Rattus norvegicus: one gene and its partners. The protein of the gene in region 2 binds, or shares a complex with, the protein of the main gene of each other region. Links are inferred from orthologs where the notes say so. Each region holds a gene or a part of one and is shown on either strand. Other genes may lie near its edges. The genes, in order: Ripk3, Mefv, Ripk1, Casp8, Zbp1 and Aim2.

Region 1 (4,266 bases), on a different chromosome or scaffold from region 2:
AGGGGCCTAGGATCTGTGAGTAGAATCTGCTAGAACACACTCCACACTCCTTTCTATGAGGGAATGAGGGAGGGCTTTACTTTTCTGAGACAGGAAGCACGGGTGACACATAACCCAGTAACTTTGTGAAGTCATCTCAGCTCGGCACAGAAAAACAAGAGGCTTTGTCTTGCATGGAGTCCTGCAGAAGGATATACTTTCAGCACTGGAAGCCTTCAAAAGAACGCTGCCAGGAGAAGGGAAGGTGGGCAGCAGCCGCTGAGGTCTGCTTCCAGGCAGAAACTTACATTGTATCTCTTTTCTGCCCAAATCCTGACTTCTCCAAGCTCAGCACAGTCCCTCAAAGTGGCAGATTGTTGCTGTTTGGCTTGTTTTTCCTTTGTTTGGTTTTGGTTTGGTTTTGGATTTTTTGGTTTTGTGGTGCCCCCCCCCCCATTAGGGATATTTCTCCCTTTCTGGTGAGGTACATTTTCCATCAGTTAAGGCAGAGACAACGGACCTGTGCTGCCACCTTTTTTTTTAGAATTATTTATTTATTTTGTCTGAGTACACTGTAGCTGTCTCCGGACACACCAGAAGAGGGCACCAGATCCCCTTACAGATGGTTGTGAGCCACCATGTGATTGCTGGGAATTGAACTCAGAACCTCGGAAGAGCAGTCCACCTTTTTTTTTTTTTTAAAAGGTTCCAGGGTTGGGGATTTAGCTCAGTGGTAGAGCGCTTGCCTAGCAAGCACAAGGCCCTGGGTTTGGTCCTCAGCTCCAGAAAAAAAAAAAAAAAAAAAAAAAAAAAAAAGGTTCCTTAACACTTCGGGGTTTTTTTTGTTTGTTTGTTTTGTTTTTGTTTGTTTTTGTTGTTGTTGTTGTTTGTTTGTTTGTTTTTTCCAGATATAACAACAGGTTCTTTTTCCGGTTCCTCAAAGCACCACGAAACTGCCACTGGGTGGGACCAAGACAGAAGAGAATGTAAACATTGGGTTCCATCCCCTGGACTCAAGGGAAGACCCTTATTCAGAGAAGGGCTTGATGGCTGGAAGGGAACAAAATGAAAGAGGCTTTCTGACTCTCAGCATAGAGGCCTGAGCATACAGAGCAAGTGGGTTAGGAGAGAGCTGGACATGGATGGGAAGGAAACGGAGGATACTTCCTAACATATCCTCTTAAATAAACTGGATCGAAGACGCACTGTGGAACGGGGAAAGGACAGAGCACCCACCTCAGGCCAACCTGACCTTCTGTACATAATTACAACACAAGGATATCCAGGAGAGAAAACAGCCTTGGCCCCCACAAAGACAGTGGGGTGACAGGCAGGGCCCCAAGACAGGAACAGGAACCTAGCTCTAACATCTGAGGGAAGCCACTGGAGTGTAAGAATCTGCAACTGCTAACTGCCATTGCCATGAGTCACTGTGGTGACCAAAGGCAAATTAAGACAGCACCCCAGAAGAACTCCATAAGCGTGACAGAGACCCAAGCTGAGCCTAACTGGCCGAAAGAGTCTCCAGACTTGGTCACTGTTACCTGAGGAAAAGTAGCTGTCCCATGCACTGTGGCTGTCCCGGCCATGTAGGGAGCAGCAGCTGGCAAGGAGTCAGGGGAATCAAGCCTTAGAAAGAGGAAGAGTCTGCCAAGGGAGCTGGGAGAGCAGCCCTGCCAGGGCTGCTGTTGGCTGAGGGAGAGGAGGAGGGCCATGCCATCCAGACCCAACAAGAGGTCAAAGGTAAGCATCCTGCCGGGTCTCAGCTGCTGACCTGACCCCACCATCCTGGGGTGCTGGGGGGCCATCTGCCTTTCAACGCAAGGTTTCGGGCCTTGTCCCTTCTTCTCCAGCTTCTGCCCCTTAACACTTTGTTTACATCCAGGCCAAAACAAAAAAGTTTGGGGAGTTTCTAATTTCTTTATCTGCAGTGTGTCTAGCCTCAGCCTGTGGCGAATCGCTAACAGTAAGTATATCGTCTGGGGAAAAAGGCCAACTCTTGTCATGGTTGATGGTAATGTCACATGATGCCTGGGCAGAAAAGGAAACAGAAAGTAAGTTTGTCCTGTGAACTTCCTTGTTGGATTACAACACCCTCCTGAACCGGAAAGCAACACACACACACACACACACACACACACACACACACACACACACATCTCCAAGTTTATCGCTGTCAGAATCTTACCATAGGCAAACTCCATGACCTAGTAATTTCAGTCAGGAACGAAAGGCGGACACCAAAGAGTCTCTGGGTTACAGTAGAGCAGGAAGGAGAGGGAAGCAGCCTCATCTCAGTATAGGACCCCCAGGGAGAACAGGAGGCTGCAATTCAGTACACACCTCATAAATTCATCTCCGAAAAATTAGAATATCAAGTTTTAAATAAGAACATAGAGGGCTGGGGAGATGACTCAGTAGTTAGGAGCGTGTGCTGCTCTTCCAGAGGATGCAAGTTTAGTTCTCAATGACGGAGGCAGGTGGCCCACGACTGCCTCTAACTCCGATTCCAGTGTATCTGACACCCTCTTCTAACCTCATCTAAATAAATAACATAAAAATACAAGAAAATGGGGTTGGGGATTTAGCTCAGTGGTAGAGCACTTGCCTAGCAAGCACAAGGCCCTGGGTTCGGTCCCCAGCTCCGGAAAAAACAGAAAAAAAAAAAAAGTACAAGAAAATAAAAACCATCCACCCATGAACCCCTATTTGAGAACAACTCCTTAGAACATATTCCTACTTGATTACTTAGTTTTGTTTGAGACAGAATCTTACTACATAGACCAGGCTAGCCACAAATTCACCATCCTCCTGCCTCAGCCTCCCTTGTGCTAGGCCAATATATCTATCTCTTATTCAGATATTCTTTTCTTTTTCTTTTCTTTTTTTTTTTATTAACTTGAGTTTTTTCTTTTTTAAAAAAAAAAAGATTTATTTATTTTATATGAGTACACTGTCACTCTCTTCAGACACACTGTGGCACCAGATCCTATGACAGATGGTTGTGAGCCACCATGTGGTTCCTGGGAATTTAACTCAGGACCTCTGGAAGAGCAGTCAGTGCTCCTAACCTCTGAGCCATCTCTCCAGGCCCAGATATTTTTTTAAACAGGTCTATACATACTTCTTTGTTTCGTTTCTTTTCTATTGTTTGAGATAGTCCCTGTCTCACCCTGTAGTTCAGGCTGGCCTTGAATTTGGGAGTTATCAGAAGATGATCTCCAATTCCTCATCTTCTTGCCTAGATCTGCAAAGTGTTGTGGTTACAGGCACACGTTACCAAGCCCAGCTTTTTTACGTTTCTTTTATTTCCCCCAATAAAATTTAATGTTTACACTCAGCCAAAACGCTTATTAACACAGACTGTTAAATATTCATTAATCGATCTTCAGATACCACCACCGCCCCCTTTTGAGGCAAGGTCTCAGGTAGCCCAGGTTGACCTTAAACTCACTACGTAACTATTAATAACCTTAAACTGGCCCCCTGGCCACCACCATCAAAGAGCTGGGATGATAGGATTCCAGGGGTGTTCCACCACTCCTGGTTTACACACATGCTGGGATCCAACTCATGGCTTCTGGCAAGAGAGGAAACCCGCCAAATGATTTACATTCCCTACTCCCTGAATCTCGTTTCTGATACATTAAATTTTATCTTTATCTGATCCTTTTTACTTGTAAAATATGCGTAACTTAAAATGCATCATTTTGCTTACCTAGGAAGCGCAAGGCCCTGGCTGGGTTCGGTCCCAGCTCCGGAAAAAAAGAACCAAAAAAAAAAAAAAAAAGCATCATTTTACACATTTAAAATACATAGTTCGGCGGCATTAACTATATTCATACTGTTGCTGTTATTACCATCCGTTACTAGAACGTACTAAAAAATACAAAAAGGACAGGAAAATACTTTTAAAGTCACAGAGAGATTGGGGGGAGGGGAGCAACATCAGCCAAAACTTCCCATAACTACCGAAATCGCAGGACTGGAGTCACAGCTGAGCACACTGGTCCCCTGAAAAAGAACCTCCTTTAAATTTGGGGAGATAGGCAAGGCTGTAGAAAAGCTTTGTGTAAGGAGCAGGGAGGTTTAATATACATAAGCACACCGGAAGAGGGGAAAATGTAAACATGGACCGTACATCCTGCCAATGTATCTTCTCAAGGAGTGAAAGGATGACGAAAATAATGAAAATGCACTTCCTCTACACAGACTACAAAATTCCTAACGACAGAAACTAAGACTTCAGAAACTCCAAGCTGCATCAAGTTGAGGAAGTATTCAAAC
Region 2 (4,742 bases):
CAGCTAATAAGGACTTACCCTGTTGTTGCTGGGCCCCTAGGGGCTGGCGGTGGAGATGGCTGGTTGCCAACAGATGCATCTGAAGAATGGTTTGAGGTTGATCTCCACTCTACGTGTGCCATATACCCCCACATTCACACATATGTGAACAATCATGCAGACGGGCGCGCACACACACAAAGGTAGTATTGTTACCCAGTAAAATATGTACAGCCTGCCTTCATAGTTATGTCTAAATCACTAGATGTTAATGTAGTATGACACAAGACAACAAATAGAATAAATTAAAAGACAAGTTGCAAAAGGGTATTTTATAATAATAGGAATAGCAGCAGACTGCCCGAAAGGAAACGGATACGTAATTCTCTTCAGGTCTGAGATCTAGTAGAATGTAAGGGTCTCTGGACCACGGTTGGGCCTGGAGGTGGGAGGGAGAGCATTGGAAATACAGTACATGATACGGAAGCTTAAATGTGCTGGTTCCTGTAAAGACATCACCTTTAAAGCCAGAAAGATGCTTCCTTAAGAAAACAAACGAAGCAAGGAGAGCATGCTCCTCTTGGGAGTCTGCTTACTTTTCTTCTCTGTAGGTTTTATGTGTCCTCAAGACCAGGGCAGACAGAATGATGGGCATATTCTTCCCTGGGGAAGGAACATGGAATGGCTCCTCTGTCTCAAGAACGTCTGAGAGTACCAATTCTGGCTGTGTTGTGAAACAGCCACGCACTTCCTCTTCTCACCGCCACGGGATGCCGTTGCGGTGGACGGCCCCTTTGCCTTTGATCGACAGTATCAGAGTTCCTCTGCTAGGGTTTACTGTGCTTCTTGCATACTGTGTTGGCTAATGTTGTCAACTCATCAGGATTTAGTGTCACGCATGGGACAAGTGCCTGGGCATGTGTGTGAGAGTGTACCTTGAGTAGGTTGGTCGAGGAGGGAAGATCTACCCTATAAATGTGGGTGGCAACATTCCCTAGGCTTGAGTCCTAGACGGCATAGTGAAGGGAAAAGACAGGCTTTTGAAGGCCGTCACTCTCTGCCTCTTGATGGCAGATGCAATGTGGTCATCTGCCTCACGTGCCTGCCATGTGGCCCTCTGCCAGGATGCTCTAACCCTTCAACTATGAATCAGAATAAATGCCTCCTCCCCCAGTTGCTTTGTCAGAATATTTTATTACAGCAATAATAGTACTAAATAATACAAGTACAATATTGTTTTTTCTTTTTGACGGCTGGACCCCAGTCAGAGTAACCCGAATCCATCCAGTTAGACTCAAACTCACGGGTACCATCCTGCCTCAGCCTCTCAGTTTATTATCTTCCTATTCATTCCATTCCTTGCACCAGCTGACACCTTTTTAATGACTTCCGAGTGCATGAATGTGAGGCATAAGCCAGAATGTTGGCACAGTGTTGGGCGCTCGGTGAAGTATCTGGTCACTGGCAGGACTGAGGGTCCAAAGAGCTATGTTGTTCTTCATGTCCCCAGGGTTAAAGGCAGGTTGACAGGAACTGGAGGGGAGAAGCCAGAGGCCAGGTACATGTCATGTTGCTCCTAGCTGTGTAGTCTAGAAAGCTGCCCGCCTGCTTGGGGCCACCCTCATTCACAGGCTGGAGAAATGTGCCTTCCTGTTGCGTTGCTATTATTACCACCAGGAGCCATTCTCCACTGAGTTATAGTCCCCTTCCTGCTCGCCAGAGCGTTGCAAGTTCCTGGGACTCTGAACTGTCTTGTCTCCATACTCCACCTCCCAGTGACAGCCGCTGGAGTCCAAGACAGGAGTAGTCCCCAGCATGGTGATGTAACTTTAGAACCTCTGGAGAGTGTCAGGCAGCAGGTCCGTGCACTCTTCGTATCACCACAGAAGATGAGGCTGGGGTGAACAGCTGCTAGGTCCCAGTCACGACAACTGCAGGAAGAAGAAGACCTAGCTGGGATGGGGATGTGTGGGCTTCTCCCAAGGCGCTCCCAATCTAAGGAAGAGGGAGTTTACTGAGATTGCGGTAGGGGACAGGAACATACAGGGACCCGGTGTACCAAAGCCAGTACTTGCCTTGATTTAGGCATTTACCAGCATGTTCTTAAGCACCTGTCGGTTCTGGACTACAGAGGGGGAGGGGGGAAAGAAAGGTGGAATAAAGTTTTAAGTATGTCCATTCAGGAGGTCTGAATTATACTCTCCCCACAAGGAAAGATGAGGACTCTCCTTCTTAGGGCTCTGAAGCCTATGTTAGTCATCAGCCAAGATCTCCCAGGCACCCTAAACACTGAAGCTGTTACTTCGATCAACAAGGCAAACACAGTGGGACCAAGCAGAGCTGTGAAGCCCTTTATGACCTGTTTTATGCTTCAGTTCTAGGTGTATCCCCACCCCTCCACCTTCTGAATCATTCCCCAGAGCAACAGATAAAGGATAATTACAAAAACCCTTGATGAGCTCGTTACCACCATACTTACGAAGGAAGGTTTCCACTTCAGGAAAGATTTAAATTTTCTTTTGTTGTTCTGAGAATGGATCTCGTGTAGCTCAGGTGTGTCTTGAGCTGACGACGGATGAAGGTAATCTTGAGGTTCTGATCCTCCAGCTTCCAGCTCTGCGCAAAGTATTACATCGAAATCCTGTGTGTGTGCACCATCACACTTTAGGTGAACGGTGGGGATCAAGGCCTGGGCCTTGGTTGTGCTAGGCCTGCACCCTTCCCGTGTTGCTACATCTGAAGCGCTGAATGCCATTTCGGAGCCCAGCATTTCTAAAATAGAGGAAGGAGAATGGAAGAAACTGAGTGAGTGAACGAGTTAGAACAGAAAGAAGCTGGAGGCGGGGTCAGAAACGATTTGTTGGTGGGGAAGTGAATCTGAGCTGCCTGAACCCCAAGGAGGAAACGAGCGGGTACTTTCCACCTTCCTCAGAGCTCGCTGACCTGAGAAACGCTGCATATTCTTCTCGGCGGACTTTGATTTCTGGTAGAGCAGGTGCAGTTTTTCTTTAACGCCTGGAGGAATGCCCAACAGCTCAGAGGCAGTCATCGTCTCAGCCCTAGAGACAAGAGATTGTCAGCCAGAGAGGACAAGATGTCGTCTGCAGCCCCATGAGGTGACAGACTGTCCCGGCTCAGGTGACGCCAAGAAGTCTTTCCTAGACTCAAAACTCTGACACTGGTCCTCACCTTCAGCTGCACACTGGGCATCTTTGAACTACTGCTATAAAGATCACAGTGAGTTTAAATGGCAGCCTTAAAACTGAGTTAGTCGGGGTTGGGGATTTAGCTCAGTGGTAGAACGCTTGCCTAGCAAGCCCAAGGCCCTGGGTTCGGTCCCCAGCTCCGAAAAAAAGAAAAGAAAAGAAAAAAAACTGAGTAAGTCTTGCTGTCAGAGTTCTCTGTGTCAAATGAATTATACTTTACTACTTCTATTGAAAGGGAAAAAAAAGAACAACGAATGCCAATTCACTCCCATTAGAGTGGCTATTATAACAGCAATGAAAAACAGTAAGGGGAAGTTATAAGTTGATAACAAAGAGGTGGAGAAATGAGCACCTCGGGAGGGGATATAAAATGACACATATACCACTGGAAATAATGTGCAAGTTCCTTAAAAATCTCTCGATGGGGCGGAAATACAGTAGGTGCAAAAATCTGAGAAACTAAAGGCAGAGTCTGGAGCAGCACTTGTACTGTGCACATAAAAACACTGCTCCCAATAGCCCAAAGGCAGAAACAGTCCAAATGTCCATCAACAAATACTCTGTGGTAGCTGCATCCAAAGGGGAGTCTCTTGGCAGTTAAATAGAGTGGAATTCTGACGCAGTTACAGCACGAATGAGCTGTGAAAACGTGTGGCATGAAAGCAAGCTGAAGGCTAAGGGACAACTCGCATGGTTCTGACGACATGGGGTGTTTAGAACAGTCAACCTAATAAGCAAGGAAAACCAGACTGGTGGTTGCCAGGAGACAGGGGAGGGAGGATGAGGAGTTAGTGTTCAAGGGTACAGAGTTCTTGTGTGGGAAGACAAAAAGGTTATGGAGTTAGATGGTGCAAGCAGGTGCACGCCAACACAGATGTATTAGCATTAGTGCACTGCAGGCATAAAATAATTGAGACTTTATGATCTGCATATTTTAGTGGGAAAATCATTTTTAAATCCCACTAACCCCCAACTCCCAGCCTCGGGACTGGGATTTAGTCACTGTGGCTGAGGCCTGGAAACCAGGATTTTGTAAAGTTCCTAAGTGACTCTGGGATGTAGCCTTTTCTAGCTCACCTTTCTCTTCCCCTGCCTGCTTGGCTTCACCCACTTTCAAATCAACCCCCAGGGACACCCCTCTTCCCAAAGTGCTTGAGATTAGAGGCAGTTCTGGGAACCCTGTCACGAAACAAAAAACATCCATCCGAGAGGTTTCTTAGGGAAGCACCACTTGGGTTAGGCAGGACTGGGGTACGTTCTTTCTTCCCAGTAATCCATTCCTGCCCTCCCCACCCCCACTTGGTCAGACTCCCATTTTGTTCTTCCCACACAAATCCAGGAATGATGGCCTCAGGAAGCTTCAGGAAACAGAGCTCTGGGTTACAGACCCAGCTCCTTCCTAAGACTGTATCATCCAAATGCTTTCTGCTAGACACCCAAGGGGATACCATGGGATCTCTCTGCACCTGTGCAAGGTGGCTCCAATGTCCTAGGAGAGAAAAAAGGGAAGATCTCCATTAACAGTCTCCAAGAGTTGTGACTCCCTGGATGCAAACT
Region 3 (4,742 bases), on a different chromosome or scaffold from region 2:
GAGTGATTGTAGTCTGATTTTCCACTAGAAACCCATTGCTATAGTTGATCATGATAAAAGAGGACCTAGCTCAGCACGGAGCACGGTGCTGCTTGCAAGGCTAGCATAGTACAAGGTGTGGGCTTGACTGGATTGAAGGATACGATGAAAAAGATCTCATCCCTGGTTCCTGGGTTTTGTTTCCCTCTGATTAGATTTGGAAATGGAAACACTGAAGGGTTGCTACCTTCCCTCTGGAATGGGCTATCTGCTCATCATCTTTCCCAGGAAATCTTGTGACTGAGACTTCTCCACCCTGGAGAGAAAGGGAGTATAGAAGTGTGTGGAGACTATTCTTAAAATTCAGAAAAGGCTTAAAAGCAGTAGTAAGTCAACCATTTTGGCCTCAGAATCCTCCACTTTGTGGACCAAGGGGCATAGTTCAGTGGAGAAAACTAGTCTCGCACATCTTTGGTCCTAGACTCAGTCCTGGCTCTCCAAGACAAAGACTTCTGCTTTGACATCCTGTTTATGTCTATTTTCATTTAAGGAGTCAATTTACTTTTGAAAATTCTTTTTATCATAGCAGAGGTAATAAGGAAAATGCAGCCTATTCAGGAGCTACATGTAACTGAGGAAGCAACAGCACACATAATTAGTCTTGGTAGCTAGAATCCAAGCTGGAGACCTGAAGGGGGACCAGATAGCTCAGGGCCAGAGTTCTGGGTTTCATCCCCACACCTACACCAACAAGAAACAAAAAGATCCTGAAAACATTTAGCACTGGGGAAGAACCAGGACCTGCCTACAAGATCCGCATCAGACGCCATTCATGTCTCAGACGGCTGTTAATCCCAACGTCTTTTTTTCTTTCAATTAAGAACTTATCCTTTGTGTTCTGGGTTAAAATCTGTGCATTTCATGTAGGCACATGCTCTATCTAGCTCCTCCCTAAATGCTTCTTAGAGGCAGAAGAGGACCACCTCCTTGGATTGTCCCGTAACTGTCCTCCTCTGCCATTTCCCCTTGCCACTTTATTCTTTGCTGCGTCTGACTTGGTTATCTTTTTCTCTGCCTTTATGTGTGTTTCGATTTCCTTCTCTCCATCCTGTCTTCTCTTAGGTGCAAACTGCCAACACAAAACAAGTAGCAGCAACAGTCCCACCCTCAGGGTGGCTTTGGGATGCTCAGAGAAACAACCACGGTCCTCTGGATGTTATTGGGCAAATGAAAGGTGTGGTAACCAGTCTCTGTCTTCCCCAGAAAAGACCAAAACAAAAAAAAAAAATATGCAAAGTAAATGAGAAATTAGCACAAACACAGTTTTGTTGTCTTGCCCCAGTGTTATTGGTTAAGAATTGAGATGCCAAGGCCCCAGCAAGATAGCTCAGCTAGTAAAGATACTTTGCTGCTGGGCTTGAAGACCCAAGTTCAATCCCAGTATGGAGCGAAAGGACTTCTGCAAGTTGTCTTCTGACTCACACACACATCTTGAAATATGCGCCCCCTCAAAATAAATAAAAATAAATAAATAAATAAATGTTTAAAAGAAACTTTAAAAAATAATTGATATGCTAGCATTTTACATGAACATTCTGAGAGTCTATTGAGAGGTAACTATTCTAGATAGGCCCATGCAGCAACTGAAAAATTGATTGTGCCACACATGTACTGGATAAGCCCCAGACTTGAATTCATGAAAATCCAGTTTGATTTACTCATAAGCCTTCGTGATGAGTTCCGTTGGCCCCTCTTCTCTTCCAGATAGCCGATCTTGGTGTGGCTTCCTTTAAGACATGGAGCAAACTGACTAAGGAGGAACACAACAAGCAGAGGGAGGCCAGCAGCGTCACCAAGAAGAACGGAGGCACCCTCTACTACATGGCACCGGAACACCTGACTGACATCAACACAAAGCCCACAGAGAAGTCAGATGTGTACAGCTTCGCCATTGTGCTTTGGGCAATATTTGCTAATAAGGAGCCCTATGAGAGTAAGACATGTATAGTCATGGGACTTTGATAGTAATGAAAACCGTTAGATGAGGGTTGGTAAGAAGGCTCAGTGAGTAAAGGCCTTTACCACTGACCCTGACAACCTGAGTTCAGTCCAAATTCCAGGACTTATGTGGAGAAGGAGGGAACTGACTTCTGAAAATTGATCTCTGACTTCTCTGTACATGCACTGCAGCATGCAGATATATCTCCTACTCTCTCTCTCTCTCTCTCTCTCTCTCCCCTCTATTCTCTTTTCTTTCTGTCTCTTGATGTACACAAACACTCCCACACTAAATTTTTTAAATATCATTTTTAAACATAAACTGATACCCTTTAGTTAATTCTGTTAAAATCTATAATTGTTCATTTAATTGCTTTCTGTAGTGTCATAAAGGCCAATCCCATATCTAATTTATTCACTGCTATTTATTTAGCAGATACACACACATACCCACCACGGGGGGCGGGGGGCGGGAAGCACCAGCCTGAAATATTAGGTACCGAGGAGACCTTTGTTGGATTAGTCATCCCAGTTTAGGATGGGGTGAGTAGACTCCTTTATAATATAGCTCAGCTCAGTATTCTTCCTGGAGTGGGGACAGCCATACTTTGATTCTATTTGTGAACGAGCCTTTTTCATTACTTACTGTGGGCAGTTCAGTCAGCTGGAATGTAAAGGAAACTAAGTCGTTGTTTGTACAGGGAAAAGTCATCCTTCCATGTGTGTAAAGAAATGACTGCCTTCTATGACTTCTTCATGATTACCAACACCAATAGATCAGGGATCTGGTGACTCTTAAACCTTAGTCTCTGACCATGACCAAGACATCCACAGATCTGTTAGACCCAGCAAGTATACCACAGGAACCTCCAAAATAGCATCCCCTGAAAAAGTTGCCAAGTTTATCAGCACAGTACAGGTTGTTTACCACCCGCACTGAATGGCACAATAAGCAACTTTAACTGTTCTCATCTTGATTGTTTTTACCAAAACCCCTCATTCTTGATTCTAGAGTATCGGTTATCATGTATATGTTTAAGTCACTCTCATTAATCTGAGCTTCTTAAAGCCCTGGCCATCCTGTATTTGCCTCTGTATTCTATGACTTTACCCATTTATTCTGTTTGTTCTGTGAAAAGGTAGCTTTGTTCTGATTTTTTGTCTTTCTTCTGCAAAGTCAAAACATCATCCTATCATTCTGTAGTAGACTACATCAGCTCCTTGCTACAAGGTTGCTACTCTATGGAATGAGACAGCCATGGAAAAAGCATACCCTAGGTAGAGACAAAATAGCAGCATTATCCAGGTCCTGTCATCTTCCTGCTTGAGAGCAGAGTGGGACTGAGCCCTAACTGAAGTTCACCCCTCTTTGCAGATGTCATCTGTACTGAGCAGTTCTTGGTCTGCATAAACTCTGGGAACAGGCCAAATGTGGAGGACATCCTTGAGTTCTGTCCAAGGGAGATCATCAGCCTCATGGAGCGGTGTTGGCAGACCAACCCAGAAGACAGGCCAACATTTTTTGGTAAGAATGGGTTGTATGCCTATTTAGGCTGCATCTGACAGGATGGCACTCTTCAGCAAGGTGACACTGGTAATTTAGTTTCTTTTCCTGTTGCTGAGACAAAGAGGACAAAGCAACTCGAGGAAAAGGTATATTTTGGCTCAGTTCAAGGGTACAGTCTACCATGGCATGGTGGGAGGTCACAGTAGCTGGAGCCCGAGGCAGCTGGCCACACTGCATCTACAGTCACAAAGGAGGCAGACATAGATGCTGGCAGTCATTTGCTCTCTCCTTTTATTCAGTGCAAGGTCTCAGCCCATGGGATGCTGCTGCCCACATTCAGGGTGGGCTTTCCCTGCTTCACACCCCCACAGACACATCTAGAAGTTGGTAAGGAGAGTCAGCCATCAGTTAGGAACATACTTTGAGTACCACTTCACCTGTGGCTTCAAACTGACTGGAAAGATTTCAAACAACTTGTCAATGAAAAGGTCTACCCTTCCACAAAGCATGGGCTTCTTCATTTCCTTCTTTAGTTTGGGGAATTAGCGTTGTTATTGTAGCACATATGCTTTCCATCTTGTAAGTATACTGTCTAGTGGTGTGAAGTCCATTCCATTTTCAACAATACCTACCACTATCCATCTCCAAGATCCCTCAGCCTAGAGCACAACCCTGTGCTCAGGAAGTGTTAGCTCCACTTCCCCTTTCCTCTCTCCCCTCTCCAGCCTTAACAGTCACTATTCTATTGACTCTGACTGCACCAAGTATCTCATGTAAGCAAAAATTGCACAATACTTCTATTTTGTATCTGTTGTATTTTACCAGCTGTCTTTAAGGTCCATCCATGTGACAGAATGTGTCAAAATGTACTTTTTATTGCAGAAAAATATTCTACTCTGTAGATAGTTTTTGTGAGTGTGTGTTCGTCTGTTGATAAGTACTTGGCCTAACTATTTCTAGCTTCTTTCACTTATATGCCTCCTTAGTTGGCACCTTATTGGCATCCTTAGAAATTAATTCTGGCATATAGGCTGGCCCTACAGTTGAGGAAAAGGAAGGAGACACGAGCATTTGGCCCATCCCCTAGACTACCTAGGAGTGTGAAGTAGGCCAAAGGAGAAAAGCAGAGATACAATAGGAGCTACTCAGAAATGTACACAGCATCATATTGTTGTATTTCTGTGAGAAAACAGAACTGGAGTTCCAGCCATTCCCACTTTGTAAACCAAGCTGACCTCACATTTACAGAAATACCATG
Region 4 (4,742 bases), on a different chromosome or scaffold from region 2:
ACACACACACACACACACACACTTCCTCCCACTCTAGCCAACACCAAAGGCTCTCAACACAACCAGCTGCCCTGTGTTCTGCCACCAAATATTCCCTGTGTTGTGTGCATGCATCGCCCACCTACAATCACACCACGTTGCCAGGGTGTACTCAGGGCTCTGTTCTTTCACTGAACCTTCATTCATTACCCTCCCTCCCACCCCACCAGGGAGAACTCATATGGCAACAGTCTGTTTATAAACTCCTGGAGTCCCCTCACAGCCCAGCCCATGCCTTTTTTTCACTTTCATTAACCTGAGATTTGTGAGGTGCAATGTTTGAGGAGCCCCAGACTACAAACACATCTTATAGGCAGGGCAAAACTTTGTGGGTGGGCTGACATCCCCATCCTTCCACTGGAAGTCATGCCTGGCTATAGGAGGTGGCCACTTCCAGGCAGGGTGAGGTGTTTTTGTGCTGCTTCCCATAATAACAACCCTTCCCACCTACTTGTGTACGCAACCCTTCTGTGGCTTTAAGTGTGAGCCACCATGATACACACAGATGTGTGAACCTGCCTTCTTATTAATTCAGGCCTGCACCCACCCTCCCAGCGCCCCCCCCCAGCTCCTCTCCCCCCCCTCGCCACCAGGGCAGGGGTAATGCAAAGAATTTCCGGTTTATTTCAAGAAGTGAAACGCCCCCCCCCCCAAAAAAGTGAGCACACCTCTAGATTTTTCCATTTCCCCTCCCCTTGCCCAGCACAGGGGCAGTCTGGGTGTTCCTTTCCCGGAGAAGACCAAGACTCTCTTAGGAGTCATCATTACCCACAATCCTGTCCCTTACAATTTGTTACATCAGGCAAGAGCATGTACCAATGTGTACTTACAAAGTTACCAAGTTTACTTACTTGGGGAAAGCGTAAATGCTTTGTTGTTTTTTCCAGAGCCCAGTCCTCCTGAGCTGGTGGAAGTGGCTACCTCATAGCCTGCTGGGATCCTTGTCTATTCTCCTCAGGGTTCCTAGACTCATTATTTTAAACCTAAGGTGTTTTAACTTCCTTTAGCAAGAAAGAAGAGGAAGAAAACTAGAATATTTAAGAAGACAGGAGCCTAGCATAACCGTCTTCCTAGACCCTTCATCCAGCAGTGGATAGAAATGGATTCAGAGACCCATAACCAAACATCAGGCAGAACTCGGGAGTCTTGTGGAAGAGTGGGGGAAAGGATTGAGAGTCTGAGGGGTCAAGGAGATCACAAGACGACTTACAGAGTCAACTACCTTGCACCCACGGGCGCTCACAGAGACTGAACCACCATCCAAAGAGCATATAGGACTGGACCTAGGCCTCCTACACGTGTAGCACATTGTTCAGCCTGGTCTTTTGTGGGTCCCCCAATTACTGGAGCACTCTGTTGCTTGCCTTTGGATTCTTTTCCTCTAGCTGGGCTGCTTTGTCTGACCTCAGTAAGAGAGGATGCGCTTAGTCCTGCTGTGACTTAAAGTGCCAGGTGGGGATGGGGGAGAAGGGCAATGGGAGGGTGGAGTAAAGGAAGGGGGCTTTGATTAGGATGTAAAAAAAATAAAAAAAAATAAATAATGAAAAAGCAAAAAATAAAACCAATCAACCAAACAGAGCTCTGATGACTCTTCCAAACACACAGGTCCGATTCCCAACACCCACACGGCAGCTCACAACTGTCTGTGACTCCATGTCCACCTGACTTAGTGCCCTCTTCTGGCCTCTGCAGGAAGCCTATATGCAAATGCTGTATAGACACATATGCAAGTACAGTGCCCGATTATACACTAAAACTTAAAAAAAAATTTTTTTAAAAATCTCATTACCAGCCTACCAGAAGGTAATGTTTCACATTGAAAAATGAAAAATTTAAATTACACATCGTAGTGGTTTGACTGAAAAATGTCCTTCCTGGCTTATGTTAGTTGAACACTTGGTCCCCAGGCTGTCTTGGAAGATTAGGACGCTTTTAGAATGCAGAGCCTTGCAGGAGGAAACACATCACCCGGGGACAGACTTTGAGAGGTTTGGCCTCACCCGACTTGCGGGTCACACTTTCTGTTTTCTGTGTGTGTGTGGCAGATGTGAATTCTCAGCTTCCTGCTCCTGCCACCGTGCCTGCTTGCTGCCATGTTAGCTCTGTCATTACTTGCCCTCTGGAAATGTAATCCAACATAAACTCTTCTATAAATTGCTTTTGGTCATGGTATTTTATCACAGCACAAGCAAAGTAACTACTACACATACGTAGCACATTGTTCAGCCTGGTCTTTTGTGGGTCCCCTAGTAACTGAGTCATATTCCCCCAACACTGTCCTCTCTCGGCTGAATTCCTGCAGCCAAATTCCTTCTCCTCATCCTGTCCCCTTCTGCACCCTGCTGCATGAAGATACATTATTTTATGGTTCAGCAGTTTTCTCTGAATTATGTACTTAGCCCCCACATGTCTTCATTTATTCTGCAGTCTCGCCCGTCACTTCACACATGCCACAGAGGCGTGTCCCCTGGGCCCACACTTCCCAGGCCCCCCACCACAGCCTTTCTACCCACCTGTAGGCAGAAACCTGGGCTTTGCCCAGAACCTGCAGCTCCCTCACCATTTCCTCTGGGCTGCTTTTTAGGACTCTGCTCAGCAGATCCCGCCGACTGATATGGAAAAGCAGCTCCTTCAGGAAGGACAAATTGTCTTCCTCCAACATCCCCTCTTCCTGCAGCCTCTGAAATAGCACCAGGACATCATTGATGGACTCCTGCTTCTTCTGCGGGATGTGGTCCAAGCACAGGAACTTGAGGGCAGCCAGTTCTTCGTTGCCCAGACGTTCAGCAATATCGTAAAGACAACTGTGGAAATCCATTCTTACCAAGGGGTAGGAGAGCTGTAACCTGGGTCAACACAAGTTGCTAATGGTCAGGTGAGGAAGTTAAGTGTCAGCTACCAGCTTGTTTCCTGTCAAAAGCTTACTTTATCTACCATATTCCAGACACTTTAGAGGGAAGAAATGGAGAATAACATGAAACAAAACAGGAAGTTCCTGCTTCTTAGAAACTTTTGTTTAGGAAGGTAAATATACAGAAAGCCACTGGTCACAGAGTCACCTCCTGGGTGCCATATCCATCTTGGAAATAGGGATTCCTGTGGGCAAGAGACTTTTGGGGAGGAGACAAGAAAAGCAGTTCTTAAAGGAAAAGTGCATACAAAATGTGGAGACAAATTGCTCCAGTAGAGCCACCCCACAGGGGGCTAGAACGGATTGTTGGTGACGCTGCAGGGAGGAGAGTAAGAGTCATGGCTCGGAACATGGCCTCTTCCTATATCAAAACCTGGCTATACCACTGGACACTCTGCCTTCCTCAGACTCTTTGTTTGTAAAATGAGGGGTAGAAGGCTACCTTTCTCCTGAAGCTGTGAATCTGAGATAACATCAAATAACGCTCAGCTACTAACAAACACTAAAACCACGACAACCTCCAAGAAGGAGAAACCCCTGGTCCTGAGGGTTCTCAGTTCGTTTCTATTGCTATGGCAAAAACATCATGACCAAAAGCAATTTGGCAAGAAAGAGTTTCTTTACTCGTATAGCTTATAGAGTCCATCAGTCAAGGAAGTCAGGGCAGGAGCCTGAAGACAGAAACATGTAGAGAATGGAGGAGTGCTGCTTACTGGCTTGCTCCTCATAGCTTGCTTTACCTGCTTTCCTGTGGCACCCAAAACTATCGGTGGCACTGTCCACAGTGAGCAGGGCCTTCCACATAAATCAGGATCAAGAAAATGCACCACAGACCTGTCCACTAGAGGCTTAAAAATTCCATTAAAAAATGACCATGTTGGGGTTGGGGATTTGGCTCAGTGGTAGAGCACTTGCCTAGCAAGCGCAAGGCCCTGGGTTCGGTCCCCAGCTATGAAAAAAAGAGAATAGAAAAAAATGACCATGTTAACAGCAAGGATTTAAAGAAAAGAAAGAATTCTGTATCACTTGACAACAAGCCAAGGAAATTGTGAGGCAATGTCCTACTTGTTCATTATAGAACCAAACTCTCTTACCTACAGGAAGTAACCCTAAAGGTCCCCAAAGAAATGAAATTTGACAAATGGATGTGTTCCACTTTACAGAGTTTGGTAAACTCAGATTTATACATCATACAATTGACACGCATTCAGGATTTCAATAGACAACTGCCTTAGCTTCAGAAAAGGCTGACTCCATAATTACACATCTCATACAAATTAAAATGAACAATGGTCCAACATATGTGTCTAATCAGATGAAACAAGTTTTTACCTAGTATAAAACATGTTTCAGGCATGTCACATGATCCTACAGGGCTAGCAATTGTAGAGAGACCTAGTCGTATTCTAAGAGATACTTAACATTCAGCCCTCAGAAATAGATTACATAGTGTTTTACTAACCTTAAAATTTTTAAATGCTGGGGGGGGGGCCGGGAAAAAATTTTTAAATGCTAATGAACCAAAAACTATGGTTGCTGAAAGACATTAGATTGTGGAGCACTGCTGAACTAGACCAGTCTATTTGTTTTAAGAATTCTAACATCAAAATGAAAAACGAGAAATGTAATCTACTAGGGGAGAGGTTCTGCTTATATTTCCATAGGAAAAGAAAAGCTATGGGCTCCTTCTAAGTAGATAAAAATCAACCATGACGAAGGGAGACCCCCTGAAGACCTTGGCTACAGACAAGAAGGAGACTGAAAAGATCAACAAGATAGGTGATGTGTGTGT
Region 5 (5,542 bases), on a different chromosome or scaffold from region 2:
ATCGGACCCGAAGGCTGGAGGCCTTGCCCAGTGGTTAGAGCATCAGCTGCTCTTCTAGAGGATCCAGGCCTCAGTACCTACGTGGTGGCTCACAGCTATATCTGTAACTCAGATTCCAGCCAGGTCGATTCCCTCTTCTAACCTCTGCAGGCAGTGCACGCATGTGGTGCGTGTACACGCAGGCAATGCACTCGTACAGATAAAATAAGATGCACAAATATAAAAGAAAATCTGCAACAACAACAGCAACAAAAAAATCTGTCCCTAGACCATCCAATCCTTATCCTTGATTTTTTTCTTCAACCTGACCCTCAGTGACCTAATCCTGACCCTTGACCTTCCTGACCTGAAACTTGACCTTCCCAACCTGACCCTTGACCCCCGACCTCCCCAAACCGACTTTGACCTCTCATACCTCGCTCTTGGCCTTCCTGGCTTGAGCGGTAGATGGTCCACATCTGTGTGTCAGACACGGTCAGAAGGTGCTTATTCCTCATGGAATACAGGATGGGGTTCACTTCTTTGGCCGTCGTCATTCCCAGAGCCTTGGCGATATGCAGGGCCCTCTGGGGCCCTTTAGTCTCCAGGAATCTTAATATCCTTTCTTCTGCAAAGCAGGAGGCAGGTGCTTCGTGGGAAGAGAGCCCTGGGCTTGCATCTACCCACCACCTACTGCCTGTGGCCTGGGATACTCGTGAAGCCCAGGGACATGGCGAGGGTCTGTCAGAAGCACATATTGGGTCATCTTGGGGACAGTGGTCCTCTGGAGACCAAGCGGATGAGGCTCTCACCCTAGAGACTGGCGCAGACTGACGCAGGGGTGTCAGAGCCCACATCTCACCATTTAGAACCTCTCTCTTCTAACAGTGAGTCTGGCCTCTGACACTCCCATGGAGCTTCAGGGGTCTGGGGAGGCCTCCAGCATGCACCGAGATGCAGGCCAGGACTCTCTGGAGCTGCACCCACATCTCATTAGGGTCTTGGGACTGGAAGAAGGATGTGTCAGTTGAAGACAGGAGATGCCCTGCTCCATTAAAAACAGAATAGTTTCTCCGGAGAGCTGGGGGACAGCACATTAGGCTGGGTCCCAGGGCTTCCGATCTGCTTGGGTCATGGATGCTGTCTGTTGAAGGTTGAGGCTGCTTCCTTTCCTGTCTCTGTCTGAGGGTTGAATGAAGGCAAGATGGCTCTGGTGTGGGGGGGGGGGGGGCGGGGGCAGTGTCAGCACTTGGAACTGTGGGTCCTTTCTTCTCCGTGGCTCTCAAAGTCACCCGAAGGCTCTGAGTGAATCCTTACTTACCGTCAGCCCTCACTCTCGCTGTGACTATTGCCTGGGTTGTGTCTTTGACCCTGCTGTTGTCTACTGCAAGCCTTCTATGGCTAAGCCCTAGGCTCAACATTAGCTCCATTGGCCGGGAGAAATCCAGAGACAGAGAGGGGATGGCCGAGCTCAGATTTGAAGCCAAGCCTGAATCTGGGCTTGCCTATGACAAGATGGCTCTTAAGGGGTGTATGTGGTGGTGGGGGGAGGGGCTTCTGCTCTGCCGACGTGACAGATTACCAAGGCTAGGCTGGGCAGCGGAGTCCTCAGGGATCTCGGGAGCCCCATCTCCGGAAGCCCCATCTCCACCTAAGGACCACGTCGCTGGCGCCGGCGAGGACACTCGGCCCTCTTTCTTCAGGCGGTAAAGGACTTGGTTGAGGATTTTCTTGGGCACTTGTAACTTCTTCAACAGCTGGTCGATCTGCACAGGACTACCAGCATCACTCAACACCTGCAGGATCTTCTGCTCCAGGTTGTCTCGGGGAGGAACACAGAGAAGAACTGAGTCAAGCCTAGTCCCCGGGGACACCCTGCATCCAAGCTTCCGGGCACAGGAGGGATCTCCGGAGAGACCCTAGAGCAGAGAAGGCACCCGTGACCTGGGCCAAGCAGACAGTAAGCGAGGATACCAGTCGGAGGCGAGGGTGTCAGTCAGGTGAACGCTGGCTCCACAGATAGATGTCTGGAGTGGTAAAGTCATATGCAGCCTGCCCTGTGTACTATGTGGAAGTCAAGCAGGTAGGAACCCTCAGCCCTCAGACGATGGAGCAAGAGGGAGAGGTGTGAAACCAAGTCTGGCCCTGAAGTCCCTCCGTGGTGTCTTGATGTCTCTCCCAGCCCGGCCAGGGACTCCCTTTCTCTCCAGCTCAGCACCCACATCTATGGTGTGGGTGTTCCCAGGTCAGGAGTCCAGCAGATAAGAGAAATGGGTCTCTCCTCCCATGCCTGATAGAGCAGGAGCCCCGGAAAACCCAGCTCAGTTCTTTTACCTGGGCCTTGAAGCCATCTTCCAGATGGCCACCAACTCCAGAAAGCTTGCCCCCAGATCCCTCCACCGGGAGCTTCGATGGGCCTCTGCTAGCCAACCAGCCTCCTCTGTGCCTAACCCCGAGGGTCCCCCAAGTCCCACCTCATGCTCCTTTCAGCAGGTTCGTCTGCTTGTCCGTGTGTCTGCCTTTAACTTTCTTTCTTTCCTCTCCTGACAAAGTCTTACCATATAGCTCAGGCTAGCTTGAAATTCACAGCAATCCTCCTGCTTCAGCCCCAGATCCACCCCCACTGCAGTGCTGGAATTAGAGGACTTAGCATCTCTATTCCTGGGTTGGCTTTGCCTTGCCTTGAGAAACCTTTGCTGGGGAGTGTGTCGTGTAGCAGGCTCCCCTCCCCTCCCCTCCCCCACTGACCCCTAAAGACACACAAGAGAGGCAAAGCCTTCCCCAAAGGGTGGGCTTGAAGGACTGGTTGCAGGGTCTGAAAGCGGGACGTTAGGAAGCAGAAGACTGGAGTTGGTAAGGCTGGACAGGTTAGTAGTGTTAGGAAACTACAGGAGTCAGGCGAGTTTTAGTTCCTGGTCTTCTTTGCCCAGGAAAGAAACTGGCACCTGGCCTGGCCCCTCCCTGATAGCTTATGAGCAGCAACTTCTAGTATGTTTCCAGGTCTGAAATAAGAAAGGATAACCCAGAAGGACCTAGACAAGCAGTAAATTAAATCCTGTCCACAGCATCGCAGCCTCACACAGCCCTGCACCCCGTAGCCTCCCATAGCCCAGAAGCCCCTAGATGGACTACATGATTGCAGCAAGGATTTGACTAGGGCAGGAGAAAAGCTTGACTACAAAATCAAAGTCACATCTTCCTATCAAAGCAAAGTCCTCTCTCGAGATGACAGTTCAGAGCCCCAGGCCTGTCACAGGCCTTGGTGACCTCATCTATGAGGTAAGAGGACATGAAGGATCTGGGGCACAGGATCCCTGAAGCAAGCTGACTTCTCTGTGGTGACCTCAGAGTCCTGCTGCCGTCTGGGCTAAGGAAACAGCCAGGAGCCGTAGAAACTTCACCCAGGACCCAAAGGTGGTGAAGGAAGAGTTTAACTTACCTCCCGTGCCCAGGTCCACAGAAGCCTCCGCCATGCTCCCAGCAGCCGTGGGGCACTTTTAGGGGTGGGGGTGGCAGGTCCCAGCACTGTGGCCAGGCCTGGGGCTCTGAGTCCACAAGAAAGAATGCTTGTTTGGACCTGCAGACACCAGCTGTTACCACCCCGGAAACTAATACCCATCTGGCTGCACCCCTTCCCCGCCCTCTGGCTTTCTGAAGAAACAGAAAATGAAACTTTGGTGTGATTCTCGAATGAAAGAATTGTCAAAATCAGGGTGGATGAGGAAGCTGGAGTTGGACAGACCATGTGACAGAAAAGAGCGGGGTCTTGGCCTCTGGGGTGGGACTGCCCACGGGAAGAGTGAGACCTGAAGAGGACTCTGAAAGCCCTGTGAGGAGGAAGATGGTGATCTAGGAAAAGGCACCCACGGTGCCTCTCCTGCCTGGTCTAGTACTGTCTACCCACATATGTTTTAGAAGAAGAGACAGACTCCTTTCACTTTCATAAATTCTCAGCGGCCCGAGAACAGTTCAGACACCTCTCTGTCCATATTACGGGAGAGGGGGATGGAGACTCACAGAGATGGCCTTGTGTTCACCACTCAGCCCATAATAATCCCTGAATCTGGGTCCCAGCTACAGGGTGGGGGGACCTGTCTGGTGTGCAGGTCCCTGGTGCACAGGGCGGGACAGGAACAGTCAATGGAGACCAGAAGGAGGTGATGTCTGCAAAGCAAGCAGCTGGCAGCAGGTCCCCAGTCAGCTTTACCTCTCGGAGCCTGAAAAGGTCACCAGGCAGGCCACCATCAGGCCAGATCCGCACAGCTTGGGAAAACTTTAACATTTCCAAGTGCTTTTTATGACTTCCAGGGAGGAAAAACAGTGCCTGCAGAACCAGCCAAGGAAAACAGAAACTGCACTGCCTGTGGCACCCAAAATAAATAAGGTGGCTTTTAAACAAGCTCTCAACCTGGCCTGTTGGGGGACATTGCCCCAGTTCCCTAGAGATGTCATTTTGGAGACTGACCACTAGGTGGTGCCTGCTCACCAACCGCCTGTTGCCCAGGGGGTCTTGCTTGATCCCTGGCCAAGGTGGCTTCAGACTTAACCGGGCTTCAGGACATGCCCGCTTTCCTCGCTTCTTTCTTGAGCATCCTTTACAGGTCTTCCCTTCTGTTCCTTACATTAGCAGACCTGGAAGGAGTCAGGGCCTCCTAGGTCAGCGGTTCTCAACTGTCCTAACTCTGCAACCTTTTAATACAGTTCCTCACGCTGTGGTGATTCCCCAGCCATAGGAATTACCTTCGTCAACACTTCCTGACTGGGATTTGGCTACTGTTATGTAACTGTAACGTAATGTAAAGATCTGTGCTTTCCAAGGGTCTTAGGCGACCCCTCTAAAAATGTCCCTCAACCCGCAGAGTACTCTATACATAATATATAAATCTTAAGACTATGAAAGATTTATTTATTGATTGATTTTAGGTATGTGAGGGCTCTATCTGCATATACCCTGCAGGCCAGAAGAGGGCATCAGATCCCATTACAGATGGTTGTGAGCCACCATGTGGTTGCTGGGAATTGAACTCAGGGCCTCTGGAAGAGGATTCAGTGCTCTTAACCTCTGAACTATCTCTCCAGCCCCAATAAATAAATCATAATTTGTTTTTCAAAAAATTTTTTCTTAAAAAAAGAAAAAAGAAAAGAAAAGATTCCAAGCTAATTTTCAACATTGGGCCTACCGTCAGCACCTGTGGCCGTAGACTAGACGGTGCAGATGTGCCTTTTTGTTATTGTTTTTGTTGTTGCTCTTGCTTGCAAATGGTTGGCAGGTACCCCAGACTTGGTGCTGTCAGTCACCCAGGTTCTTTTTATCCTGTCGCTCTGCCATTTATAGCCTGTTTGTGGGTTTGCCTTGAGTTTTAGAAAGGTTGCTGGAATTCTACCTATCACGAGTGCACTCCTCAAAGGAAGGAGGAGTAAAGGTTGGGGATGGGGATGGGGATGAGGGAAGGGGTGGGTAGCTTCATCTGTCAACTGAGGATTGCCCAGAGTGGATCGGTTGTGAACACACCATGAGAGAATATCGTGATTGCTGACTGATTCGAGAGAACACGGACCACTG
Region 6 (5,444 bases), on a different chromosome or scaffold from region 2:
GATTGCTATAGCTCTCTGGCTGCTTGCTCTCATCTTGACTTTTCTTACCTGTAGTTTGTTTGTGTTTTCTTCTGCAAAGCATTTTGCCTTTCTCCAAGCAAATGTTTAGATATATGCAGGGTCTGACAGTTGTGTGTTAAAGTCAATATGAGGAGACATTGTGGATATTATGGGATGAAAGTCAGAGAAACCTGGAAAACCCTTGAGGAGAAGGTGGAAAGAGCTTTTTCCAGGATTGGGCAGTTGGAGCAGAGGCACAGAGAAAAGAGTGATTCTATTCTGCAACTGAATCTCTATATGAATTATAGAGGTTAGGGAGATGGCTTAATTAGTAAACTGCCAGCTCCCATGTTAAAAGATGGGCACAAAGGACGCACTATAATTCCAGAACTGGGAAGACAGATGGGTAGATCCCTACAGTTCTCTGGCCTAGTAACCCAACCAAATCATTTGAGTTCCAGGTTCATTAGGAGAAGACCCTGTTGCAAAGAATAAAATGGAGAGCAAATCAAGGAAGATACCCCACCCTGAACTCTGGCATGCATACGCAGACAGACAGACCAACGGACAGACGGACACACACATGTATGTCACACACACATACACACCAGAAATCAATTAATCAGTTAATTAGTAAACAAATAGAAAACAGGCTTGAATTCCAGAGCAACCTGCTTACAACAACTAGATGCAGTTCTCAAATATTTCATGTGTGCAGCTGACAGGACTGAATTTTATATTATATTTAATTTTAATTAAAAACAAACTCAATTTGGTTTCTAGAAAAATCAGTGTGATTAAAATTACTTGAATATGTAAACCTACATTTTCAACTGTAAATTTTGTGAATTTTAAATATATATAAATATAAATGTAAATATAGATGAAAATTTACCACCAGAAATTACGTTCTCTGAGAACAAAATATATGCCAGAGTTTTGAAGACTCAGTAAATATTTTGGATACTTTGACTTTAATCAAACATATTGGGCTGCTGTTATTGGGTTTTGCTTTTGTTTTTTAAGGTAGCTACTAGAAAATGTAAGTGTATTTATTTATATTATATTTCTATTGGGTGATATTTTCCTGGTACAGAGACTACATGTGTTAGAATTACATGTTTTCACTTTCTAGCTCTGTGATGGGATCAAAGATGTTTTCTAGTACTTTGATGAAGAATCGTCTGATGGTCCCTACTGCACAGACTCCACGTGAGATGTGGCTAAATTACATAAGTATGCAATTCATAAGGTATACCTGACACCTGGTGTGCACAACATATGTTATTATTATAGTGTGAAGTTTATATTTATCATGCTATGGGGAGAGCAAGCAACTAAAAGAGACTTTGAAATGTCAGACAGCATTCTTCTTCTTAGAAAAGCCTCACGACAAACATCCACTCCACCAGACTCTGGACAACAGATGCCTAAGGCTTTGTTCCCGTGGTGAGCAGCTATATATCAGGTCACTACTTGATGTCGATTGAACGGCTTCTTACAAATCTCCAAAAATCACAACTACAGATGGGTGTCCAGATTTAACTTAGAAAAATGCCCTAGTAAAAGGTGGTACCAAGACAGGAGTATATAAATCAGGCTCTGACCCTAACTTGTACTTATCTCATGGGGTTGATTCGCCATCAGTTAAATATGGACAGCAGGAGATGGTACTATGAGGATTTAATATGTAACATGGCAGAGAGAGCTCTCCAAACCACACAGCGCCGTGCCAGTACCAACATGCCTTCCCCTGAGAATGATTGCTGCAGGTCGGGCTGCCCCCACGACAGATTATGCAGTTGCGTCATGGGAGTATCCCAAAAGACCCAAACTTTGCTACACTCCCTATGAACTTGTGATTAAACAGCCAACCCGTATGTCTTAAAAACTTGCAAAACTCCTTTTTAAAATAAAAAATGCAAAAGAGACGCATTTGAGAGATAAACCAGGAAATCAACAGCCGTTGTTCACAAATCAGCTCATTTTGTCCAGTCAGGCATCTTACAAGTCTGAGAGGAAGTGAGTCATGAATCAGACAAGATTTCTTCACTATTTCCAAAACAAGTATAAGTATGTATAGCACATAGTTTTCATTAAGAACGTGGGCTGGGCCTGTGTGGTGTAACTCAAGTTGGTAGTGACTGTGTCTCTTTGAGAAGGTAATATTTAAACAGTTGTGGGGATAAATAGAAAGAGCAAGTCTCATATCTTGGAGCTAGATTCAGGGGAAGGTATACAGCCTTGTCTATGTACTAAATCACACAGGGCCTTCCACTTCAGAGTGGCTATGCTGTGTGCTCATTCACCTCCCTGAAGCAGTAAACTCTACGTTACAGCATTTCCCCAAAACCCACATCAGAAATCATTTTCTGGGTAATGATAAATGGCATGTCCCCGCGAGATGTATGAATGGTACTTTTGAAAACACGACTATCACAGTAGGCATCATTCTGTATAAAGACTAATCTTAAGCGAATTGTTTAAAAAGAAGAAAACAGACATGGAAAAGGAAACATCATATGAAGGGATATAAGACGGTCACACAAGATTCAAATATCTCAATGGACAGAACACACATGAATTAGACTCACAGGTTTAAAAGGAATGCTAAACTGGATTAAAACCCACTGTGGCTCCTAGGGTGTTTACAAAAGATACATTGGGGAAACTGAAGTGCTGAAGAGTCGCGAAGCAGAAATGTGGACCTATGTATCAGGCACTAAGCACAAAAGCCCTAGTTAGAACAGCTCTATTAATATTAGTCAGAGAAGACTCTAAGACAAATAGTGCCATTAAGGACAGAGTTGCTATACAATGATTAAATGTTAAAGTCACTAAGGCAAATATAACAGTTCTAAACAGTATGCCCCTCACTGAGTAAAGCCAACAGCTGTGAACAAAGTCTGACAGTTCTCCATGAACAAATGACAAATGTGCCTTGAGGATCGGGACTTACAAAACAGTTCCTTCGATAACTAAAGTTTTAAATAGCCAAGAATAAAATAACATAAAAAGCAAAAAGATTTAAAAACATAATTAACAACTATGTTCTGATCCATACTTAGAAATATCTACCACGCTTTCAGTAAGGGCACAAAGGTTATCAGTGACTTTCAAAGAGTCGTTACTGTATTAGTTTCTTTTCTGCTTTGATAAAATGAACATCAGCAGCATAGGGGAGAAGTAGATTTTATTTTTACTTACAGGTCCATGAGGGTGGAGTTCTTCAGGCCAGGGAAAACATAGTAGCCAGTAAGAAAAGCGTGGCAGCAGGCAGGACAGGAGGCAGGCGAGTTGTAATTCTTTCTCATACAGGAAGCAGAGTTACAAGTGAGACAGCCTATCACCTCTCACAGCCCGCCCTCAGTGTCCCACTTCCTCCAATAAGGTTTCTCCAGTAAGTTCTACTTTGTGAAAGTCCCAAAACCTTCCCAAGCCACCAGCAGGTATACAAACCTCTGCAGATATCATAGGAACACTCTTTCCCCCAAATTCTAGGGATTTCACTACGGAAGTGGGAAAGAAGTGGGATCCAGTTGGAAGTAGACCGAAATGAATTTTCTAATACCTAATAAAGTAAAGGAAATGGAGATTAAAAGCATACATAATTTTTGAAAAAATGCCGGGCCACTTGAACATCTGGGATTATGGAATAACATGATCTGCTTGACTTGACATGTCTTCGATGGGAAGGTTACTTAGAGTTTCAAGCTCCATGCTTTCAAGCTAATGTGACATCATAGGCTTTCTGCCATGCCGTTATTCTTAACTTATATCGAGAAATTGCTCTCTACCCCCTATGTTGCTTTTCCCCTTCAGCTAGAAACCAAAAACCCTCTTCTAAATATAAATCCATGTCAATAAAACACCTACAGACCAACACACCCAGAAAATCAGAGTTCCTTTTAGGCTCAGTCTGGGTCAACCCTCTGAACAATATGTTCTAATTCCTGCCACAACCAAATGCACTTTCTTTTGTAAAGGTCTCAGTTGTAGTACAATAAAAGATAACGTGTGTTCCACAGTCAACTGAGGGTTTAGAACCAGGCTCCCTGCAGCCTTATTCTTTTCTGGAATATAATCCTTCCTTCTAACCACAGAAGCCCATGACTCCTCTTTCCTCCTAATTTACTGATTAGCAAAATGGTCCTAAAGCTTTTTCCGGAAAATTTCTGACATACCTTACTTACCTCCCTGGATTTTTCTCTCTGCAGCAGCCTAAGTCCTCAATTCGGGGACTGGTGTAAATCCTGATAGTTCAAACCATTCACCTCACAAAGATGTTCACTATTAGTGGTAGGACATGAAAATCATGAAAATCAGGTCTTGAGAGACAGAAAGTACTTACTGCCTCCTTTCACTTTGAAACTTGGCAAGTCTTAGCCCTGTAGCTGAGTCCTAAGTAAGCCCTGATGCTGGGGCAAAATAATTATATATTAAGGCTCTGCCCAAACAAAGTCTAGTTTTCAGTTTCCTTTTCCTGACAAGCCTCAGCAGAATTTCTCCTTCAGCTGTGAGGTCTCAACCAGAGGTATTTTAGACATAGGGAACTCCATGAGAGGTAATTCCTGTATTGCCAGGGAGCTCATAGCCTAAGGGGCTAACACAGCCCTGGGCACAGCACCCACCCACTTGCTGGTGGTTGGTTTTCTATGATTTAAATATCAACACAATAAAAAGGTTGGGTTCTGCATAATCAGATCTCTTTTATTACCCAGGATTGTCCTAGCAGCTATAGTGCACATTACTTCTTTAAATTGGCATGCCCCGTTTACTCAGTGAGAGGCTGGTTTTGTCCTCCTGCTACTTCAGAGTGTTATTTGTCTCACCGTGCCCTCCAAGGCTTCTTGCCTGGGGATGTCTAGTTTTCCTTCTCTGTTACAGGGAGGGCAAAACAGCTCAAGAATAAAAATATTATGTCCTTAAAAACTAGGTCAATTATTTCCAACATTTTTTTTTTAACCATGGTGTATCAGGGCCTAAAGTGTGACTTTCAGTCATAGAAAGAAAGTTAACGGCCTTAACTTCCTGTGTTGGTTTCTGCTGGGTGTTGTAAGCATCTGCTTCAATGCTGGTTTTCTTCTAACTGTAGCCCTTCGTTCTTCTAGTTGGAAACCTCACCTTCATTCTTCTCTGCCCAGGACTCTCTCTATTGGAAACGTCAAGGACTACCCCAAAGGGGGCATCACCAGCTGATCTCCACACTCAAGGGATGATGAATACCCCTTTAGTATTGTTCTGTTTTTACGTTAACTTGCTGACTAATAAAGTTACTCATTCAAAACCGAAGGTCCATTCATCACAGCTCGTTCTCTGGACCATACAGTTGTCTCGTGTTACGGCTGGGTGTATTGTTTTCCGTATTCTACTTTAGTATTAGTTGTCGCTGGCAACCTCTTACTATACTAAGTGTAAATTACACTTTGCCTCAACGGTTATGG

The links.
Region 1: Mefv (region 2) and Ripk3 share a complex: the UniProt entries of both Homo sapiens proteins name them as parts of the AIM2 PANoptosome complex. The link is inferred for Rattus norvegicus from reciprocal best matches to the Homo sapiens genes MEFV and RIPK3.
Region 3: Mefv (region 2) and Ripk1 share a complex: the UniProt entries of both Homo sapiens proteins name them as parts of the AIM2 PANoptosome complex. The link is inferred for Rattus norvegicus from reciprocal best matches to the Homo sapiens genes MEFV and RIPK1.
Region 4: Mefv (region 2) and Casp8 share a complex: the UniProt entries of both Homo sapiens proteins name them as parts of the AIM2 PANoptosome complex. The link is inferred for Rattus norvegicus from reciprocal best matches to the Homo sapiens genes MEFV and CASP8.
Region 5: Mefv (region 2) and Zbp1 share a complex: the UniProt entries of both Homo sapiens proteins name them as parts of the AIM2 PANoptosome complex. The link is inferred for Rattus norvegicus from reciprocal best matches to the Homo sapiens genes MEFV and ZBP1.
Region 6: Mefv (region 2) and Aim2 share a complex: the UniProt entries of both Homo sapiens proteins name them as parts of the AIM2 PANoptosome complex. The link is inferred for Rattus norvegicus from reciprocal best matches to the Homo sapiens genes MEFV and AIM2.

Annotation. Positions count from the first base shown.
Region 1 is NC_086033.1:33,259,226-33,263,491, reverse strand, and holds the start of Ripk3 (receptor-interacting serine/threonine-protein kinase 3), read left to right. Parts: upstream 1-1,466; 5' UTR 1,467-1,722; intron 1,723-2,167; exon of another isoform or gene 2,168-2,303; intron 2,304-4,163; exon of another isoform or gene 4,164-4,191; 5' UTR 4,192-4,266. UniProt on the Homo sapiens protein: Serine/threonine-protein kinase that activates necroptosis and apoptosis, two parallel forms of cell death. Necroptosis, a programmed cell death process in response to death-inducing TNF-alpha family members, is triggered by RIPK3 following activation by ZBP1.
Region 2 is NC_086028.1:12,299,749-12,304,490, reverse strand, and holds the end of Mefv (pyrin), read right to left. Parts: intron 4,675-4,742; coding exon 4,652-4,674; intron 3,039-4,651; coding exon 2,923-3,038; intron 2,752-2,922; coding exon 2,459-2,751; intron 2,105-2,458; coding exon 2,069-2,104; 3' UTR 1,911-2,068; coding exon of another isoform or gene 1,902-1,910; 3' UTR 1,158-1,901; downstream 1-1,157. UniProt on the Homo sapiens protein: Involved in the regulation of innate immunity and the inflammatory response in response to IFNG/IFN-gamma.
Region 3 is NC_086035.1:31,063,023-31,067,764, reverse strand, and holds part of Ripk1 (receptor-interacting serine/threonine-protein kinase 1), read left to right. Parts: intron 1-1,101; exon of another isoform or gene 1,102-1,213; intron 1,214-1,743; coding exon 1,744-1,972; intron 1,973-3,352; coding exon 3,353-3,502; intron 3,503-4,742. UniProt on the Homo sapiens protein: Serine-threonine kinase which is a key regulator of TNF-mediated apoptosis, necroptosis and inflammatory pathways.
Region 4 is NC_086027.1:67,785,001-67,789,742, reverse strand, and holds part of Casp8 (caspase-8), read right to left. Parts: intron 2,886-4,742; 5' UTR 2,858-2,885; coding exon 2,553-2,857; intron 1-2,552. UniProt on the Homo sapiens protein: Thiol protease that plays a key role in programmed cell death by acting as a molecular switch for apoptosis, necroptosis and pyroptosis, and is required to prevent tissue damage during embryonic development and adulthood.
Region 5 is NC_086021.1:182,418,566-182,424,107, forward strand, and holds the start of Zbp1 (Z-DNA-binding protein 1), read right to left. Parts: upstream 3,453-5,542; coding exon 3,419-3,452; intron 1,802-3,418; coding exon 1,562-1,801; intron 608-1,561; coding exon 416-607; intron 1-415.
Region 6 is NC_086031.1:88,396,478-88,401,921, reverse strand, and holds the start of Aim2 (interferon-inducible protein AIM2), read right to left. Parts: upstream 3,301-5,444; 5' UTR 3,208-3,300; intron 1-3,207. UniProt on the Homo sapiens protein: Sensor component of the AIM2 inflammasome, which mediates inflammasome activation in response to the presence of double-stranded DNA (dsDNA) in the cytosol, leading to subsequent pyroptosis.